2 linked regions of the Macaca fascicularis genome follow. The protein of the gene in region 1 interacts with the protein of each later gene in a pairwise test. Links are inferred from orthologs where the notes say so. Each region holds a gene or a part of one and is shown in the gene's direction. Other genes may lie near its edges.

Region 1 (9,708 bases):
CCGCCTCCCGGGTTCAAGTGATTCTCAAGTAGTTGGGATTACAGGCACCCATCACCATGCCTGGCTAATTTTTGTATTTTTAGTAGAGATGGGGTTTTACCATGTTGGCCAGGCTGGTCTCAAACTCCTGACCTCAAATGATCCTCATAACTCAGCCTCACAAAGTGTTGGAATTACAGGCGTGAGCCCTTGCCCCCGGCCATGGCATCTTTATTTAAAAAAAAAAAAAAAGCTGGGCGTGGTGGCTCATGCCTGTAATCCCAGCACTTTGGGAGGTCGAGGTGGGAGGATCACCCAAGGTCAGGAGTTCGAGACCAGCCTGGCCAACACGGTGAAACCCCGTCTCTACTAAAAATACAAAAATTAGCTGGGTGTGGTGACAGGTGCTTGTAATCTCAGCTACTCGGGAGGCTGAGGCAAGTGAATCACTTGAACCCGGGAGGCAGAGGCTGCAGTGAACCGAGATCGCGCCACTGCACTCCAGCCTGGGGGACAAGAGGGAGACTATTTTTTTTTTCCTTGTTCATTATTGGTTTCTCTAGGAACGGAACCAAGAAGTTTAATTCTATGAGAACAGAGAAGCCGTGGTCTTATTTCTTGCTATATTCCTAGTTCCTAGAGCAGGGAAGGCATTCAAAAAATATTTACTGAATGAGCAGTAGAATCTCACTTAAAATAAACAGAATCTGTCCCCCCTCCTCACGTGAGGGATGAGAAGGAAAGGACAGTGAGAGGAATGAAGGGGTGGGAGCTGAAAATAAATGCCATCCATTTTTAATTTTTTTTTTTTTCTTGGCTCACTGCAAACTCTGCCTCCTGGGTTCACGCCATTCTCCTGCCTCAGCCTCCTGAGTAACTGGGACTACAGGCGCCCGCCACCACGCCCGGCTAATTTTTTTTGTATTTTTAGTAGAGACGGGGTTTCACCATGTTAGCCAGGATGGTCTTGATCTCCTGACCTCGTGATCCGCCTGCCTTGACCTCCCAAAGTGCTGGGATTACAGGCGTGAGCCACCGCGACCGGCAACGCCATCCATTTTTAATTCTTTTTCTTACGTTTCAAATATTTATTGGGGGTGCTGGGGACATGGCAGGAACCGAGATATTCCCAGTCCCTGAACTCAGGTAACTGATAGAATTTGAGGGAGAGAGATAGATAAACAAACATGTAAATATGTCATTTAATACAAGCTGTGTCTTGAAGAAAAGGAGGTAGGGAGTGTGTGTGTGTGTGTGTGTGTGTGTGTGTAAAATCCAGTTCAGGGGCGTAGGCTGGTTTCTCTGGGGAAAGTAGCTGAGCTGAGACCTGGAGGAGAAGGGGTTAGCTGGTGAGAGGGGCTTTGGGGTGGGGGAGAGGCGTTCCTAGCCCAGGAAACGGCTTATGTAAATAGCTGTGGAGGCTGAGAGGTTTTCTGAGGCCATCCTAATGAGGGCAATGAGGAACTCTCAGAGGGTTTCATGTTCTGTTTGCTTTTTTGAAGATTTCATTGTTGTTTTTGCTTTTGACAAAACCACACACACACATGAATGCACACACGCACAATTAAAAAGGAATCCAAACTATAGAAACAAGATATGGCTTTAGCACTCCTTCCCAGAGGCAGTCACTGGTACCAGTAGCTTGCTTCCTTCCTGGGAATTTTCTATGCACATGCAAGTGTATATTCTACACATGAGTAAAGTCAATGCCTCATTTTATTAATTAATTAATAATGATAATACTTATTATTTTTGAGATGGAGTCTCACTCTGCCACCCAGGCTGGAGTGCACTGGCACAATCTCGGCTCACTGCAAACTCCACCTCCCAGGTTCCAGAGGGTCTCCTGCCTCAGCTTCCCAAGTAGCTGGGATTACAGGCATGCACCACCATGCCTGGCTAATTTTTATGTTTTAATTTTATTTTTATTTTTAAATTTATGTTATTATTATTACTTTTTTTTTGAGATGGAGTTTCGCTCTTGTTGCCCAGGCTGGAGTGCAATGGCGGGATCTCGGCTCACTGCAACCTCTGCCTCCCGGGTTCAAGCGATTCTCCTGCCTCAGCCTCTGGAGTAGCTGGGATTACAGGCGCCCACCACCATGCCCGCCTAATTTTGTATTTTTAGTAGAGACAGGGTTTTGCCATGTTGACCAGGCTGGTCTCGAACTCTTTTTTTTTTTTTTTTAATTAATGTCATTAACTTTAATAAAGACTCTTAAAATGTCAAAACAAAACCCCCAAATAGAGATGGATCAGACGGTTCATGCATAGGTTTGCTGTTCACTGATATATCATTAATAAATGTTCCATTTCACTCATTTATGGTAAGTTAAAGGAAAATATCTTATAATTTTAAAGGCATACTTATTTTAAAATAAAGTATCAAGAATAATTACATACTTTTCTTTAGTGCAATGAGATGATAGCCTGAAATGTTAATCTGTGCTTTATTCCTTGGTCTTTCTTGTGACTTCCTGCCATGTGCTCCTTAGTCAGACAGCAGGGAAGGTAGTACCAACAGTTTTCTTTTTTGTTGTTGTTGTTTTTTTTGTTTTTTTTTTTTGTTTTTTTTTGTTTTTTTTATTATTTTTCTTTTTTTAAAAATTTATTTATTATTATTATACTTTAAGTTGTAGGGTACATGTGCATAACGTGCAGGTTTGTTACATATGTATACTTGTGCCATGTTGGTGTGCTGCACCCATCAACTTGTCATTTACATCAGGTATAACTCCCAATGCAATCCCTCCCCCCTCCCCCCTCCCCATGACAGGCCCCTGTGTGTGATGTTCCCCTTCCTGAGTCCAAGTGATCTCATTGTTCAGTTCCCACCTATGAGTGAGAACATGCGGTGTTTGGTTTTCTGTTCTTGTGATAGATTGCTAAGAATGATGGTTTCCAGCTGCATCCATGTCCCTACAGTTTTTTGTATTTTTTAGTAGAGACGGGGTTTCACTGTGTTAGCCAGGATGGTCTCGATCTCCTGACCTCGTGATCCACCCGTCTCGGCCTCCCAAAGTGCTGGGATTACAGGCTTGAGCCACCGCGCCCGGCCTGTTTTTTTTTTTTTTGAGATGAAGTCTCACTCTTGTCCCCCAGGCTGGAGTGCAGTGGCACGATCTCTGCTCACTGCAACTTCCGCCTCCTGGGCTCAAGCGATTCTCCTGCCTCAGCCTCCTGAGTAGCTGGGATTGCAGACACCTGCCACCATGCCCGGCTAATTTTTGTATTTTTAGTAGAGACGGGGTTTCACCATGTTGGCCAGGTTAGTCTCGAACTCCCGACCTCAGGTGATCCGGCCACCTTGGCCTCCCAAAATTCTGGGATTAGAGGCATGAGCCGCTGCGCCCGGCCCCTAGAACAATTTGTTAAAACCGTATACTAGAGATCTTTTAAAATCAGTTCAGAGAGCAGCCTTATGCTTTTTTTTTTTTTTTTTTTTTTTTTGAGACAGAGTCTTGCTCTGTCACCCAGGCTGGAGTACAGTGGCGCGATCTTGGCTTACTGCAACTTTTGCCTCCCGGGTTCAAGTGATTCTCCTGCCTCAGCCTCCTGAGTAGCTGGGATTACAGTCATGTGCCACCACGCCCAGCTTTTTTTGTATTTTCAGTAGAGACGGGGTTTCACCATGTTGGCCAGGCTGGTCTCGAGCTCCTGACCTTCGGTGATCCGCCCGCCTTGGCCTCCCAAAGTGCTGAGATTACAGGCGTGAACCACTGTGCCCAGGCTTACTTTAAAAATAAAAAATTAATTTTTTGTAGAGACAGGAGAGTTTCGCTATGTTGCCACCTGAACATAAATGCTATTTTCTTTTTCTTTTCTTTTTTTTGAGACGGAGTCTGTAGCCCAGGCTAGGTTGTGGTGGCACCATCTTGGCTCGCTACAATCTCTGCCTCCTGGGTTCAAGCGATTCTCCTGCCTCAGCCTCCCAAGTAGCTGGTATTATAGGCGTGCACCACCAGGCCCGGCTAATTTTTGTATTTTTAGTAAAGACGGGGTTTCACCATGTTGACCAGGCTAATCTCAAACTCCTGACCTCAAGTGATCTGCCTGCCTTGGTGTTCCAAAGTGCTGGGATTACAGGTGTGAGCCACTGCGCCTGGCCCATAAATGCGATTTTCATTCCCATTTTCCAACAAGGCGACTGAGGTATACATTGAAGGTGAATTACTAGGAGAAAAGAAAGATGGCATTTTAATTCGATAAGTTTGTTGCAACCTGTACTGCTTGCTACCTACCTGCCATGGGAGTGCGTCTTTCCCCACACTGACCCCAGTGCCGGAAGTTATCAACCTCTTTCATCTTTGCCAATCTGATAGGTCAAAAGTGATCGTGGAAGATCCACACTCACTGTTTTTTTTTTTTTTCTTTTCAGAGATGGGGGTCTCACTATGTTGCCCAGGCTGGTTTTGAACTTCTGGGCTCAAGTGATTCTCCTGCCTTGACCTCCCAAAGTGCTGGGATTGCAGGTGTGAGATGCCTTTCTTGGTCCTTACTGTAGTTTGTTGTTGTTGTTGTTGTTGTTGCTGTTTTGTTTTGTTTTGAGACAGAGTCTTGCTCTGTTGCCCAGGCTGGAGGGCGGTGGTGCCATCTCGGCCCACTGCAACCTCCGCCTCCCGGGTTCCAGCGATTCTCCTGCCTTAGTCTCCCGAGTAGCTGGGATTACAGGCGTGGGCCACCACGCCTGGCTAATTTTTGCATTTTTAATACAGACAGGATTTCACCACATTGGTCAGGCTGGTCTTGAACTCCTGACCTCAGGTGATCCGCCCATCTCAGCCTCCCAAAGTGCTGGGATTACAGGCATGAGCCACCTTGCCTGGCCTTTTTTAATGCCACTCTCCCTTAGGGTGACCAACCAATCCAGTTTGGCTGGGACCATTCTGGTTCTAGCCTGAAAGTCCTATGTTCCAAGATACAGCCACCTCTCCTCCATTCTGGGCAAAGAGGGATGGCTGGTCAACCTGCAGTCCTTGGTTATAAGTGAGGCTGAGCGTGTTTGCCCATGGTCACAGAAAGAAGGGATCTTGGATGAGGAAGTGTTACGGGATCAGATTGGTTTTTTTTTTTTCTTAGAGTCTTGCTGTGTCACCCAGGCTGGAGTACAGTGGCCTGAACACAGGTCACTGCAGGCCTAAACTCCTGGGCTCAAGTGATCCTCCCACCTCAGCCTCCTGGGTAACTGGGATTACAGGCATGCATCACCACACCCAGTTAACTTTTTAAAAAACACTTTTTTTTTTTTTTTTTTGGAGACAGGGTCTTGCTATATTGCCCAGGCTGGTCTCAAACTCCTGAGCTCAAGTGATCCTCCCGCCTTGGCCTCCCAAAGTGCTGGGACTACAGATGTGAGACATTGTGCCCAGCCAGGATGAGATTGTTTTAGAGGGTAGAGTAGGAATAAGAGCTCGCACTTATGAGGCGCGTCATCACTTCAGCTCTCTGCTTTGCAGAGTCTCAAGAAAGCTCTGAGAACCTTAAGCAGAGGCCATTTTACACGTGAGGACACAGAGGTACGGAGGTGAGATAAATGGCCAAGGTCACGTACCTAAGAGGAGACCAAGGCAGGATTTGAATCTCAGCCTGCTTGTCACCCCATGGTGAGTAACTGGTAAGTGAGTGAGCATCCCTCCTCTTCTCTTGCAGGCCCCCTGACTTGGGCCTCAGCGTCCCCGAAGATCATGATGGCGTATATGAACCCGGGGCCTCACTATTCTGTCAACGCCTTGGCCCTAAGTGGCCCCAGCGTGGATCTGATGCACCAGGCTGTGCCCTACCCAAGTGAGTACAGTCGTTTCTCTCGGCACCCCAGGCTGGCCTCACCTCTTAGAGGACCTCTGGGGTCCCTCTGCCCCAGGAAAAAAGCAGTCACAGGGGCGACTTCAGGGCCATATACCAGCCCTCTGGGTTCATCTGAAATGCATGTCACTTAGAAAAACATGTGCAGTCCTAGAAATTCAGGACAGAGGTTCCTTTTGGGGTGGGGAAGAGGAGATGTAATTTGGAAGGGGAATCAAGAGGAATTTTCATCTGTTAGCAAAACTTTATTATTTATTTATTTTTCAGAGATAGGGTCTCGCACTCTGTCGCCCAGGCTGGAGTGCGGTGGTGACGGTCACGGCTCACTGCAGCCTCAAACTCCTGGGTTTAAGCGATCCTCCCACCTTAGCATCCTGAGTAGCTGGGACTGCAGGTGTGAGCCATTGTGCCTAGGCAGCAAAGCTTTGTTTATTTTATTTTATTTTTGAGATAGGGTCTCATTCTGTTGTCCACTCTGAAGTGCAATGGTGCAATCATGGCTCACTGCAGCCTTGAACTCCTGGGCTCAAGCGATCCTCTTGCCTCGGCCTCCCAAATAGCTAGGATTACAGGTGCACGCTACCATGCCTGGCTAACTTTTTAAAGTTTTTGTAGATTGTGCAGGATCTGGATTATACAAAACATAGAAAAAATTAATTTTTTTTTTTTTGTAGAGATTGGGTCTCCCTATGTTGCCCAGGCTGATCTCAAACTCCTGGGTTCAAATAATTCACCTGACTCAGCCTCCCAAAGTGTTGGGCTTACAGGCATGAGCCACTGCACCTGGCCTGCAAAGCCTTATTTATTTATTTATTTATTTTGAGATGGAGTTTAGACGGACTTTCACTCCTGCCCAGGCTGGAGTGCAATGGTGCAATATTGGCTCACTGCAACTTCCGCCTCCCAGGTTCAAGTGACTCTCCTGCCTCAGCCTCCCAAGTAGCTGGGATTATAGGCACATGCCACCATGCCCAGCTAATTTTCATAAAGCCTTATTTTTAAGAGAAGTGAGCACTCAGTTATTTGTAGCATTATTCTTTAGCTCTTGTTTTTGTTTTTGTTTTTTGCATTACGTTGAGCGGTGTGGACTTGCTACTTTCTTTTTTTTTTTGAGACTGAACCTCGTTCTGTCACCAGGCTGGAGTGCAGTGGCGTAATCTCAGCTCACTGCAACCTCTGCCTTCTGGGTTCAAGCGATCCTCCTGCCTCAGCCTCCCGAGTAGCTGGGAGCCACCACGCCCGGCTAATTTTTTGTATTTTTAGTAGAGACAAGGGTTCACCATGTTGGCCAGGCTGGTTCTCGATCTCTTGACTTTGTGATCTGCCCGCCTCAGCCTCCCAAAGTGCTGGGATTACATGCGTGAGCCACCGCACCCAGCCCAGACTTGCTGCTTTTATAGGCTAGAAATGGTTGAATGTCAGCGATGTCATGCTTCAACTAAATATGTCTTAGTGCATGAGAAAGCTTAGAAGAGGGAAAACGACTCACATACCTCCTCATAGAGTTAAAGCCAATTCCCCTTGGGGTCAGGCAGGATTCACAGAGTGCCAGGCACAGAGGAAGGCGTAGAAGGGCAGGGAATGTGCATTCCATCCTTAGTTTAGGCAGATGGCAACCGGGATGGAATTCTTGGCATCCCACCCAGCCTCAGGGCCTCACATCAGCCCATGGTGGATGACCTGAGGGTCCTGTTTCCCTTCCCACCCCAGGCGCCCCCAGGAAGCAGCGGCGGGAGCGGACCACCTTCACCCGGAGCCAACTGGAGGAGCTGGAGGCACTGTTTGCCAAGACCCAGTACCCAGACGTCTATGCCCGCGAGGAGGTGGCTCTGAAGATCAATCTGCCCGAGTCCAGGGTTCAGGTGGGGTGGAGGGTCCCTGGACCCCTCCCGACCCTTCCTGTGACCTTCCAGGGGCCTCCCTGGAACTCAGAGTGATGGGAGGAGGGAGCGATCACAGAGTGACAGCCAAAGTTATCAGGGAGACAATAATTCCTCTCCCCACCATACCACTGACCGCCTCTTAAGGCTCTCATCGCCCCTCGCTCCTCTCCAGCCGCGCCGGGCACTGACCTGCCTGCCAAGCACCCTCCTGCCTCGGGCCTTTGCACTAAGTTTCCTCTATCTGGAATCCTTATTTTCCAGATAACCACACAGCAGGCCCCTTGTTCGAGTCTTTGTTTTTCTATCAGTGAGACCCATGCTGAACACAGCATTTAACATTGCAGTATTTCCCCAAGACCCTGACTCTACTGCTGCCCACTATCCCGCTCAATCGTTTCCTCCACAGTGTCTGTCGCCCTCTGAGATACCATACAGTTTACGTGTGTTTGTATCTATCGCCCTCTGAGATACCATACAGTTGCATATGTTTGTAGGCTGCAGGTATGATGTTACGTATATGTGCCTACACACATGTGTATGATTGGAAGGATAAATGAAGTATGTGTGTTTATGTGATTGTATGTATGTATGATTAGATACATTAGTGCATAGCTATGTATGATGTTATGTGTGTACAATGTATGTGCCTATAATTGTATATTTGTATGTTCATATGATCATACGTTCATACAGTTTATGTAAGGTATCTCAGAGTCCGTTTATTTAGACTCTGTCTCTCCCAACTAGAATGTCAATTCCACTGATGGACCCTCAAGAGTAGCAGAAGATGGTTAATGCATGTTTGTTCATTGACTGAATAGACGGATGGATGGATGGGTGGGTGGATGCAGAGATGAATGTGTATGTGTGACTGTATATGTGTGTGTGCATGTATGACTGGAAGCACGGATGAGTGTATGTATGTGCATCTATGAGTGTCTGTGTGTATGATGGACGGATACATTTATATATATGTGTTTGTATGAATGCATGTAGGTATGATTAGATAGATGACGAATGTATGCACACATGATATATGTATACATGATGTATGTACACATGTACAATTGTATGTCTACATGCATGCATGCATGATTGGATGGATGGATGGGTGTATTTATTTATTTATTTGAAACAGAGTCTCACTCTGTCGCCCAGGCTGGAATGGCACAATCTCGGCTCACTGCAACCTCCGCCTCCTGGCTTCAAGCAATTCTCCTGCCTCAGCCTCCTGCGTAGCTGGAATTACAGGCACGCACCACCATACCGGGCTAATTTTTGTATTTTAATAGAGACAGGATTTCACCATGTTGGTCAGGCTGGTGTCGAACTCCTGACCTCATGATCCACCTGCTTCGGACTCCCAAAGTGCTGGGATTACAGATGTGAGCCACCGTGTCCGGCTGGATTGGTGTATTTATGTATATATGAGTGTATGCAGGTGTATGTGATTGGACAGATAAATAAAATGTGTGTGTTTGTGTGATTAGACATAGGTATGATTGGATAAATTAATGTGTATATGTGTACGATGTATGTGTATATGTGTACGATGTATGTGTGTATGATGTATGTGTGTATAATTGTATATTTGTATGCTTGTATAATCAGATGCATGGATGAATGTTCATATGATGTATGTATGATTAGATAGATCCATTAATGTGTGTATGATGTATGTGTGTATGATGTATGTACATATAATTATATGTATAAGACGAATGGATGAATCTACATATGATGTACATGTACAATTGTATGTATCATCAGATGGATAAGTGTATGTCTGATGTATGTATGATCAGATGGACTGGTGAATGTTTGTACAACATATACATGTGTGAGGTATATATGTATGATCAGATGGATGTCTACATAATGTATGTGTGTATGGTGTATGTATGTATAATTGTATGCATGTATGTTTGTATGCTGCAGGTATGATGTTACGTATATGTGCATATACACATGTGTATGATTGGAAGGATAAATGAAATATGTGTGTTTGTGTGATTGTATGTATGTATGGTTAGATTAGTGCATA
Region 2 (9,808 bases), on another chromosome or scaffold:
TCTCCTTGAAGTGTACAGGGAAAATAAAAGAAGCTAGAATTCAAAGCAATCTAAATTCTATCTGGTTAATAGCTGTTTGATAAAACCTCCACAGGGAACAAATGAAAACTTTTTTTTTTTTTTTGAGACAGAGTTTCGTTCTTGTTGCCCAGACTTGAGTGCAATGGTGCATTCTCAGCTCACCACAACCTCCGCCTCCTGGGTTCAAGTGATTCTCCTACCTCAGCCTCCCGAGCACCTGGGATTACAGGCATGTGCAATCACGCTCAGCTAACTTTTTGTATTTTTAGTAGAGACGGGTTTCTCCATGTTGGTCAGGCTGATCTCGAACTCCCGACCTCAGGCAATCCGCCCACCTTGGCCTCCCAAAGTGCTGGGATTACAGGCATGGGCCACCATGCCTGCCTTGATTTATTTCTTAAATGGCTTTATTAAACCTGATATAAAGATTTAATAAATGGCTTTATTAAACCTGATATAATGTCAAATTGGAGCTTGTTATATCCACAGTCGGTGTCAGGTGAAATTGTCATTTGAAGTCAAAGCAACCCTAAATACAGTCAAATATCATGAAAGTGATTTCTTAAATAAACAAAAATGTATTCGGTCACAGAAAGTTTGAAAAGAAAATTGCAGTTTGTAAACTTCAGATTCACTACCTACCTCTCTTGCTCGATGGAGCTGTGCGTGCTCAATCTTAGAGATGATATCCTTTACTGAGAATGGGATCTCAAGGTTAGGGAGCACTAAAGGACTAAGGACATTTTGGGGCTCTCTTCTCATGATGGTGGAATCCTTGATGTATTTTTCTGATTCGGGGTCATCGTCTATCTCATTTTTCATTTTGAAAAACATTTCGAAGATGTGGGTGATATCCTTTTATTTCTTCTTTTTCACAGAATCTACGAAAATGCTAATAAAGATATCCAGTAGGAAGCTAGGAGAGGTCTTTCCTGCTCCCAGAAGTTGTGGCATACTCTGCTGCTAATTGGTGGCTACCATGATATTCCAGTCCTGTTGATGTCACAATAGACCCATTGTGACATTATCATTGATCAAACATGTAAAGAGTGCTTACTATGTGCAGAGAACTGGTCATTCTATATGCTGCCATGGTAGAAGGGTGAAGGGGGGAAGGAGGGTAGGAAATAATAGACAATAGAAATGCTAAAATAAATAGAAGATATAGCCCTGCTTAAATAACCTTAAAATCTAGATATGTTGGCTGGGCACAGTGGCTCACGCCTGTAATCCCAGCACTTTGGGAGGCCGAGGCAGGCGGATCACCAGAGGTCGGAGTTCGAGACCAGCCTGACCAACATGGAGAAACTCCTGTCTCTACTAAAAAACAAAATACAAAATCAGCCAGGCGAGGTGGCACATGCCTGTAGTCCCAGCTACTCAGGAGGCTGAGGCAGGAGAATCACTTGAACCTGGGAGGCAGAGGTTGTGGTGAGCCGAGATTGTGTCATTGCACTCCAGCCTGGGCAACAAGAGTGAAACTGTCTCAGAAAAAAAAAAAAAAAAAATCTAGGTGCGTCAAATATCACTGTAATGGAATAAGGGTTACAACTACTTCCTCAGCTGCCCCTTAACTTTTCCTAGACATGTAGTAACTTGGATGATATCATTTGGATGAAGTAACTTGGATGATATTATTTGGATGAGGATCACACTCTTTGCACTGCTTACTCTTTATACTTTTTTTTTTTCGAGACAGAGTCTCACTTTATTACCCAGGCTGGAGCACAGTGTCATGATCTCGGTTCACTGCAACCTCTGCCTCCCAGGTTCAAGAGATTCTTGTGCCTCAACCTCCCAGATTCTCAGATTCCTCAGCTGGAATTACAGGCACGCGCCACCACACCTGGCTAATTTTTGTTTAATATTTGCTTTAGATATTTTTTAAATTAAAAAAAGCATTAGAGAAGGTCGAAGTCCTCTTTGATGTCTCCCAACCCCTGGTTCCTTCCTTCCCCACTGTCCCATTCCAGATGAAATGACAATCATGAATTTTACATATTTGAGTCTACTTTTACATAGTTTTATTACAAGTGTATATATATATTTTTTCTTTCTTTCTTTCTTTTTTTTTTTTTTTGAGACAGAGTCTCACTCTATTGTCCAGGCTGGAGTGTAGTAGCGCGATCTCAGCTCACTGCAACCTCTGCCTCCCAGGTTCAAGTGATTCTCCTACCTCAGCCTTCTGTGTAGCTGGGATTACAGGCGTGCGCCACCACACCTGGCTAATTTTTTTTTTTTTTTAATGTGAGATGGAGTCTCGCCTGTGGCCCAGGCTGGAGTGCAGTGGTGCAATCTCGGCTCACTGCAAGCTCTGCCTCCTGGGTTCACGCCATTCTCCTGCCTCAGCCTCCCGAGTAGCTGGGACTACAGGTGCCCACCACTATGCTCGGCTAATTTTTTTTGTATTTTTTAGTAGAGATGGGGTTTCACCGTGTTAGTCAGGATGGTCTCGATCTCCTGACCTTGTGATCCGCCCGCCTCGGCCTCCCAAAGTGCTGGGATTACAGGCGTGAGCCACTGTGCCCAGCCTATACCTGGCTAATTTTTTATATTTTTGGTAGAGATGGGGTTTCACTGTGTTGGCCAGGCTGGTCTCAAACTCCTCAAGTGATCCACTCACCTCAGCCTCCCAAAGTTTAGTTGTCAGCTAAACTAATTTTGCATTATTGCTTTCTCTCTCACTTGCATCTTTTATGCAGCATGGAATTCATCAATCAGCAACTAGACATGAAGGCTTTTCTTTGAGACAGAATCTCACTCTGTTGCCCAGGCTGGAGTGCAGTATCACGATCAAGGCTCACTACAAGCTCCGCTTCTCTGGTTCACGCCATTGTCCTGCCTCAGCCTCCCGCGTATCTGGGATTACAGGCACCTGGCTAATTTTTTGTATTTTTAGTAGAGACGGAGTTTCACCGTGTTAGCCAGGCTCGTCTTGATCTCCTGACCTCGTGATCTACCCTCTTCAGCCTCCCAAAGTGCTGGGATTACAGGCATGAGCCACCACACCCGACCACGAAGGCTTCTTAAAGTCAATTTTTAAATCCTGCTTCCCTTTCTATTCGACAAGCATTTGTTGAAACACTATGCTGCTTACATTATCCTACACTGAAGAATATATGATAGGGTTCCTGTAAAGAAACTAAAACAAAAAAGAAAAAGCAAAGATTTAAGATAGAATATAATAATCAAGTGCTAATAAGGGACACGAGGAAGAGATCTATAGGAGTAGAGTCTTTGAGAAAACCTTATGGAGAGAGAAGATTGATTGACAAATGGAGGCAATCCAGATAGGGACTACACCTTGAGCCATGGCTTTGGAGGTGAGTGCTAATGAGTTTGCATCTCAGGGGGAAAGTAAGGAGATTGGTTTAATCACTGAGATAACCTAACAGGAGTTTACCGAGAACCAGATTAGGGTGGGTCTGAGATAACAGCTATCAGCAATTTGGTGGTGGAATTAATGTGGTATCTGAGGAGATTCCATTTGCGGCAAAGCAAGGAAGATTTCATGAGATCAGAATGGCAAAGTCTTGAAATCAAGTTAACAGTGGTTTGGTGAAAATGAGACCTTTACTTGAGGAAGATTTTTAAAATAATATAATGGAAAAATCCATTGGAAAAGATCAAGACATGATTATTTCATATTTATTTATTTATTATTATTATTTTTTAGAGACAGAGTCGCACTCTGTCACCCAGGCTTGAGTGCAGTGCCGTGATCTTGGCTCACTGCAACCTCTGCCTCCTGGGTTCTAGCAATTCTCCTGCTTCAGCCTCCCACGTAGCTGGGACTACAGGCACACACTGCCATGGCTGGCTGATTTTTTGTATTTTACTAGAGATGGGGTTTCACCGTGTTGCCCAGGCTGGTCTCAAACTCCTGACCTAAGGCAATCCACCCGCCTCGGCCTCCCAAAGTGCTAGGATTACAGGCATGAGCCACGGCGCCCGGCCAATTTTTATTCATTACCAAATGATTATTATTTTTGAGACAGAGTCTCACTCAGTTGCCCAGGCTGGAGTGCAGTGGCGCAATGTCGGTTCACTGTTATCTCTGCCTCCTGGGTTCAAGCAATTCTGCCTCAGCCTCCGGAGTAGCCGGGATTACAGGTGTGCACCATCACACCCGGCTAATTTTTGTATTTTTAGTAGAGACGGGGTTTTACCATGTTGGCCAGGCTGGTCTTGAACTCCTGACCTCAAGTGATCCGTCCGCCTCAGCCTTCCAAAGTGCTGGGATTGTAGGTGTGAGCCACCCCTCCCAGCCAATACATGATTATTTCAAAAGATGAGTGTTTGAACTAGGACGTAGACGTGGGAGTGGTAAGGGAGGGACATATTGCTAAAGATAAGGAATTTGGACCATCTAACAAATATTATAGATAATTTAAAAAATTTGTTTTTATTGTATTTCTTTTGAATTAATGACAGAATATCAAAGAAGAGACTATACAGATTAAGCGTTGTTACTAGTATATTAAGTGGAGATATGGGTAACTAATTCAAATGAGCCCAGGGCAAAGTTCTTTAAAGGTGTGTCAAAGCGAAACCCAACCTCCTAGAGGGCTCCTTCAACTGTAAAATGGGGATGATAATAATATTATTTATTGCATAAAATTGTTTTAAGATCAATTAACATAAAATGCTCAGTATAGTGCCAAGCACAATGTAAGCATTTAATATACAGTAGCTGCTATTAACGTATTTACTACTATCATAGCTTTTTATAGCTTTTTTTTTTCTTGTCTACTTTTCTTCTGTGAGCCACCACTTTTCGGCAGGGTTGGACGTTTGTTCAGCACACGTCGCCAAGGTCGGCTTTAAAAATCAAATCTAGATTGTGAACTACGAAAACTGCGGAATTATCAGTGCTGTGTAGCTATCTGACAAGTGATAAAATGTGTCATTAAGATTTTTACACATCCCCGTGCCCCAGAATGGCATCTCCTGCTAATCGTCCCCCCCGCGACAGATGATAGTACATCCCACACTGTTGCTAGAAAAGATGGTGCAAAAGTTGAGCGCGTCGACGACTCTTTTCTGCCGGAAACAATTTTTCCCTAGACCCGGAAGCAGTTGTTGTTTCAAGGGAGGTGGGACTGGGCGGGTCAGGCCGCAGCCGCTGACGGCGGGGGAGGAGCCGGGTCCACTGCCGGGTGGAGGGGCAAGGCGAGTGTGTGTCCTTATCCTAGCAAGTGGGGCGCGGGCCTGTGAGCCAGTTGGAGTTGCGGCGGCGGGAACGATTGGGCCGAGCAGAGGACGACATGTTGCTTTTCGTGGAGGTGAGTGGATTTGCTAGTCTCGTCCTGCTCTTAGGAGAGCAGGAGTGTAGAGGTGCCGGCCGGTCCCACCGCCATGTGACTTTCCGGGCCGTACACGCCGCGGAACCGGCAGATAGGCTGACACAGCACCTGGGCCGAGCAGGCCTGCAGCTTCCCTCTGCGCGCTCACAACACTCTAGGAAGCTATGGGAGGTGATGCCCGTAATGGAGAAGAATTGAAGGAGAAGAACGGAGGGCTGGTCTGGTGTGGCGTGAGGTTCAGAGGAGGGGTAAAGTGTCCCATATGGACCTCCTAAAGGAGACGGCATTGGGGGGTTCGGGGGCGGAGTCTGAGAGGAGAGGGTAATCAGGTGGGCGCGTTCCGGGGGCCGAGCGCGGCCTCGCGGGGCCCTCTGGGAGGGAGGCGAGCAACATGTGGGGCCACGGATGGAGGAAGGTGAAATGCGGTAAGTGTTTTGAAAAGAAAATTGAAAAAGTTCTTTGAGCAACCTCCACCAAATTCTGCCCGGGCCCCGTCCCTAGGTCTCTGGAACGTTCTGTGGGTGAAAGCGAGTTACTTTGAATCGAGGAGAAGCCAGTAGGGTTTGGAAGCCTTGAAAGGCACCGCTTTGACCTTTTGTAAAAGTTACTCAAGCAGCAACTGCGTGATGAAGGGTTGGTTCTATGAACCGATTAAAAGCCCTTTACAAGGAAAATTCCAAGAAGGAGAGAAACTTATTCCGGGAAAAGCCGGTGTTTGTAATGTTACTTGAACAATGAGATACTTTTATTACTTAAACTAGAACATCTGCTGTTGGCCTATTTAGTTTTCAAGATAGAGTTGGAGACCTGCCTTACAGAAATACGAAATTTAATTTCCCTTCATTCTGTCCTCTTGTGTGCAGTAAGCGTCAGCTGACTGCCTGGCTAATGCTTTGAGTAGATTCCAGATCATATTGTTCTTACATTGTGAAAACGTCAAACCAGCAAAGCTGCAACTTCGCAACTTGGCGTTTGTTAACTATGCCCATAAAAATAATCTTTTCAATGAGGGAAGGAATTTACAGGTTGTATAATGGGTCTAGGAGCCGGGGCCAGCCTATGGCAGATTTTTTTTTTTCCCGGTTGTGGGAAAATTTTTATTATTTTATTTTTTAATTTTTCGACTTTTTTTTTAAAATTATACTTTAAGTTCTAGGGTACATGTGCACAACGTGCAGGTTTGTTACATATGTATACACGTGCCATGTTGGTGTGCTGCACCCATTAACTCGTCATTTACATTAGGTATATCTCCTAATGCTATCCCTCCCCCCTCCCCCCGTGGGAAAATCTTAATCCATAATGTTCCAGCATAAAGTAAATAAATGATTTTAGGGTTTTTTTTCTGTTTAACTGACATTGTGTCGCCGATAAGCTTGACATCTTTAGTGTTTTAAAAGACTGCTACATTAGAGTATATCTAACATTAATAATAATCATTCATTGGAACATCCGGGGAAATCATGAAAAGATTTAAAATTACTGAACTCATTCTGTTTACTGTTTTCTATCCTCATTGTTGTTTTCCTTAGGCAGAATAAGAAATCAGATAGGATTTTAAGACATTGCCGGCCACTTTGTTTTAGGAATGTTATGCTATGTAAATACCACAGGTTTTAAGTGTGTGTTTTGCTGAGCGGAAGAAAGATTGTGGAGTTTATATTGACGGGAGCTCCACAATATACTTTTGACTTCCAAATTGATTCCTTTGGCTTTATTAAAATGTAAGTTTTAATAACAGCCCCATTTATTGTTTAAATTAGGTCCTCTCCTGTCTCTAAAGCAATACTTAAAATATTCTACAGATGACAAAACCGAGCCCCAGAAGTTAAAGTAACTTTACTTAGTAAAAGTAAAGTAGTGTAACTGGGATTTAGATCCAGGTGTTGCTGATGTCAAATCATGGACGGGATGTTAGCAGTTCAGGCCTGTCCAACTCCCCAGGTTAGACAAATTCTACCATATCTCTGCCAAACTATTATTTAAAAGTTGTATCTCCATTAATCATTTTCTTTGTGAATCACTATGTCGTTCTTCATTTTCTCATATGAGTTTTATTGAAAATTAGCTGTCTTTAAATATTTGGGGCTGAATATGTGGTTTTAAAATCAGTGAAAAACAACATATTGGTCATTTGATGTTTTGTTAACTAGTATTTGATCCCAGTAACCTCATGATAGAGGAATTATTCTCAGTGAGAGAACCAAAGCTCAGAAGTTAGATATCTAAGGTCATTCAAGTGTAAATAATGTGGGGGTTAAAGTCTGAAGTCTGGCTTCTAGAACATAAATTTCTGGCTCCAAAATTATTTTTGCACTTTCCCATAAGTCAAAGGTTCTGAATCTAGGTTTTTGGATAGAATTGAGGAAGTAAGTACCTGAGCTTGGTTGGGGAAAAAAAATTGTTTATTTTCACTAGTTTCTAACTGAAATCTAAATGGAAAAGAAGTGAAAATTCTTTAAATGTTAATGGCAGCAACAGTGTCTGTGACCTTGTCACCAAGACAAATCACTTTTTAACATATATTACAGTTTTTGCAGATATCTTGAAATATTTATGCTCATTACTTGCTATATGTCAAAAATATTGTTATTTAATGTATTGCTATATTAGACATTTTAAAATATTTTGACAACTGTGTTTCAATATAATTAGTTTACTTTGTGATCCTATATATTTTAGAAATTTAAAAAAACTCTGAGAAGGGATCCATAGATTAATTGGACTACTGAAGAGGTCTTTGTCACAAAACAGGTTAAGAACTGCTTTACTAACCAAGTTGCTTGTGGATCATCTTTGGCAGGATTAATCTGGGATCCCTGGGTCCTCTGCAATTGTGTTCAATACCGTTTACTAATGTGTATTTTTCTGGAGAGATTCCAGCTTAACTATCCCACTAGAATCAGTAGAATAGATAATAGCAATATAACAATAATAACAGTAGTAGTACATACTTGTATTGTACTTTGTGTCAGGAACGTTTGATGTTTTTGTATATATAGATATCTGTACATCTTAAGTCTCAATATCTCTATGAGGTGTTAGTATCCCCATTTTAGTGATAAGGAAACTAAGGCAGCCAGGCACAGTGGCTTATGCCTGTAATCCCAGCACTTTGGAAGACTGAGGTGGGCGGCGGATCACCTGAGGTCAGGAGTTTGAGACCAGCCTGGCCAACATGGTGAAACCCCATCTCTACTAAAAATACAAAAATTAGCCAGATGTGGTGGCACACACCTGTAATCCCAGCTACATGGGAGGCTAAGGTAGGAGAATCGCTTGAACCTGGGAGGCAGAGGTTGCAGTGAGCTGAGATGGTGCCACTGTATTCCAGCCTGGACAACAGAGTGAGACTGTCTCAAAAAAAAGAAACTAAGGCACAGAGAATTTAAACTTGCCTAAGTTTTTACACAGTTAGTGAACGTGGAAGCTTGAACTCATCAACCACCTACTTATATTGGAGTAGAATATATTGCAGACAAGGAATCCTATGTAAATAATACTTAGATGCAAGTTTTTAAAACCTGGCCTTGGGCCCAATGTGGTGGCACGCGCCTGTAGTCCCAGCTACTCGGGAGGCTGAGGCAGGAGTTTCGGTTGAGTATGGGAGGTGAAAGCTGGAATGAGTTGTGACTCTGCCATGGCATTCCAGGCCAGGTGACAGAGCAAGACCCGCTCTACTGACTTCAGTAGATTATTAGTTTTATTTTTTTTCCGCTTGAGACTGAGTCTCTCTCTGTCACCCAGACTAGAGAGTGGCGCAATCTCAGAAACCTCTGTGTCCTGGGATCAAGCAGGTCCTTTTTTTTTTTTTTTTTTTTTTTTTTTTTGAGACTGAGTCTTTCTTTGTTGCCAGGCTGGAGTGCAGTGGCGCGATCTGGGCTCACTGCAACCTCCACCTCCTGGGTTCAAGCGATCCTCCTGCTTTAGCCTCCCGAGTAGCTGGTACTACAGGCGCGTGCCACCACGCCCAACTAATTTTTGTATTTTTGGTAGAGATAGGGTTTCACCATGTTGGCCAGGATGGTCTCTCTTGACCCCATGATTTGCCTACCTCGGCCTCCCCAAGTGCTGGGATTACAGGCGTGAGCGACCGTGCCCGGCGGGTTCAAGCAGTTCTTCTGCCTCAGCCTCCCTAGTAGCTGGGTCTTCAGGCATGCGCTACCATGCCTGGCTAATTTTTTATTTTTTATTTTTAGTAGACATGGGTTTTGCCATATTGGCAGGGCTGGTCTCGAACAGCTGACCTCAAGTGATCCGCCCTCCTCGGCCTCCTAGAGTGCTGGGATTACAGGCGTGAGCTACAGCACCCAGCCGATTATTGTTTTTTCGTTGTTTGTTTTTTGTTTTTTTTTTTTTTAATCATCTCTGTTCTGAAGGAGAAACAAACAATGTCCCTCTCTGGAAAGAGGTAGAAGTTTGGATGATTCACAGTCATCAGACATGACCCTTCTTAAATTATTTTACAACAAATTTTTTGT

Evidence for each region.
Region 2: the proteins of CRX (region 1) and LARP4 interact in binary tests that used the Homo sapiens proteins (3 or more experiments, as listed by UniProt). The two-hybrid records come from large-scale screens. The link is inferred for Macaca fascicularis from reciprocal best matches to the Homo sapiens genes CRX and LARP4.

What each region holds. Positions count from the first base shown.
Region 1 is NC_088393.1:55,836,925-55,846,632, forward strand, and holds part of CRX (cone-rod homeobox protein), read left to right. Parts: intron 1-5,628; 5' UTR 5,629-5,663; coding exon 5,664-5,763; intron 5,764-7,491; coding exon 7,492-7,643; intron 7,644-9,708. UniProt on the Homo sapiens protein: Transcription factor that binds and transactivates the sequence 5'-TAATC[CA]-3' which is found upstream of several photoreceptor-specific genes, including the opsin genes.
Region 2 is NC_088385.1:57,239,820-57,249,627, forward strand, and holds the start of LARP4 (la-related protein 4), read left to right. Parts: upstream 1-5,161; 5' UTR 5,162-5,288; coding exon 5,289-5,306; intron 5,307-5,680; exon of another isoform or gene 5,681-5,752; intron 5,753-9,808. Other genes in the region: protein FAM186A, read right to left, coding at 664-855. UniProt on the Homo sapiens protein: RNA binding protein that binds to the poly-A tract of mRNA molecules. Associates with the 40S ribosomal subunit and with polysomes. Plays a role in the regulation of mRNA translation.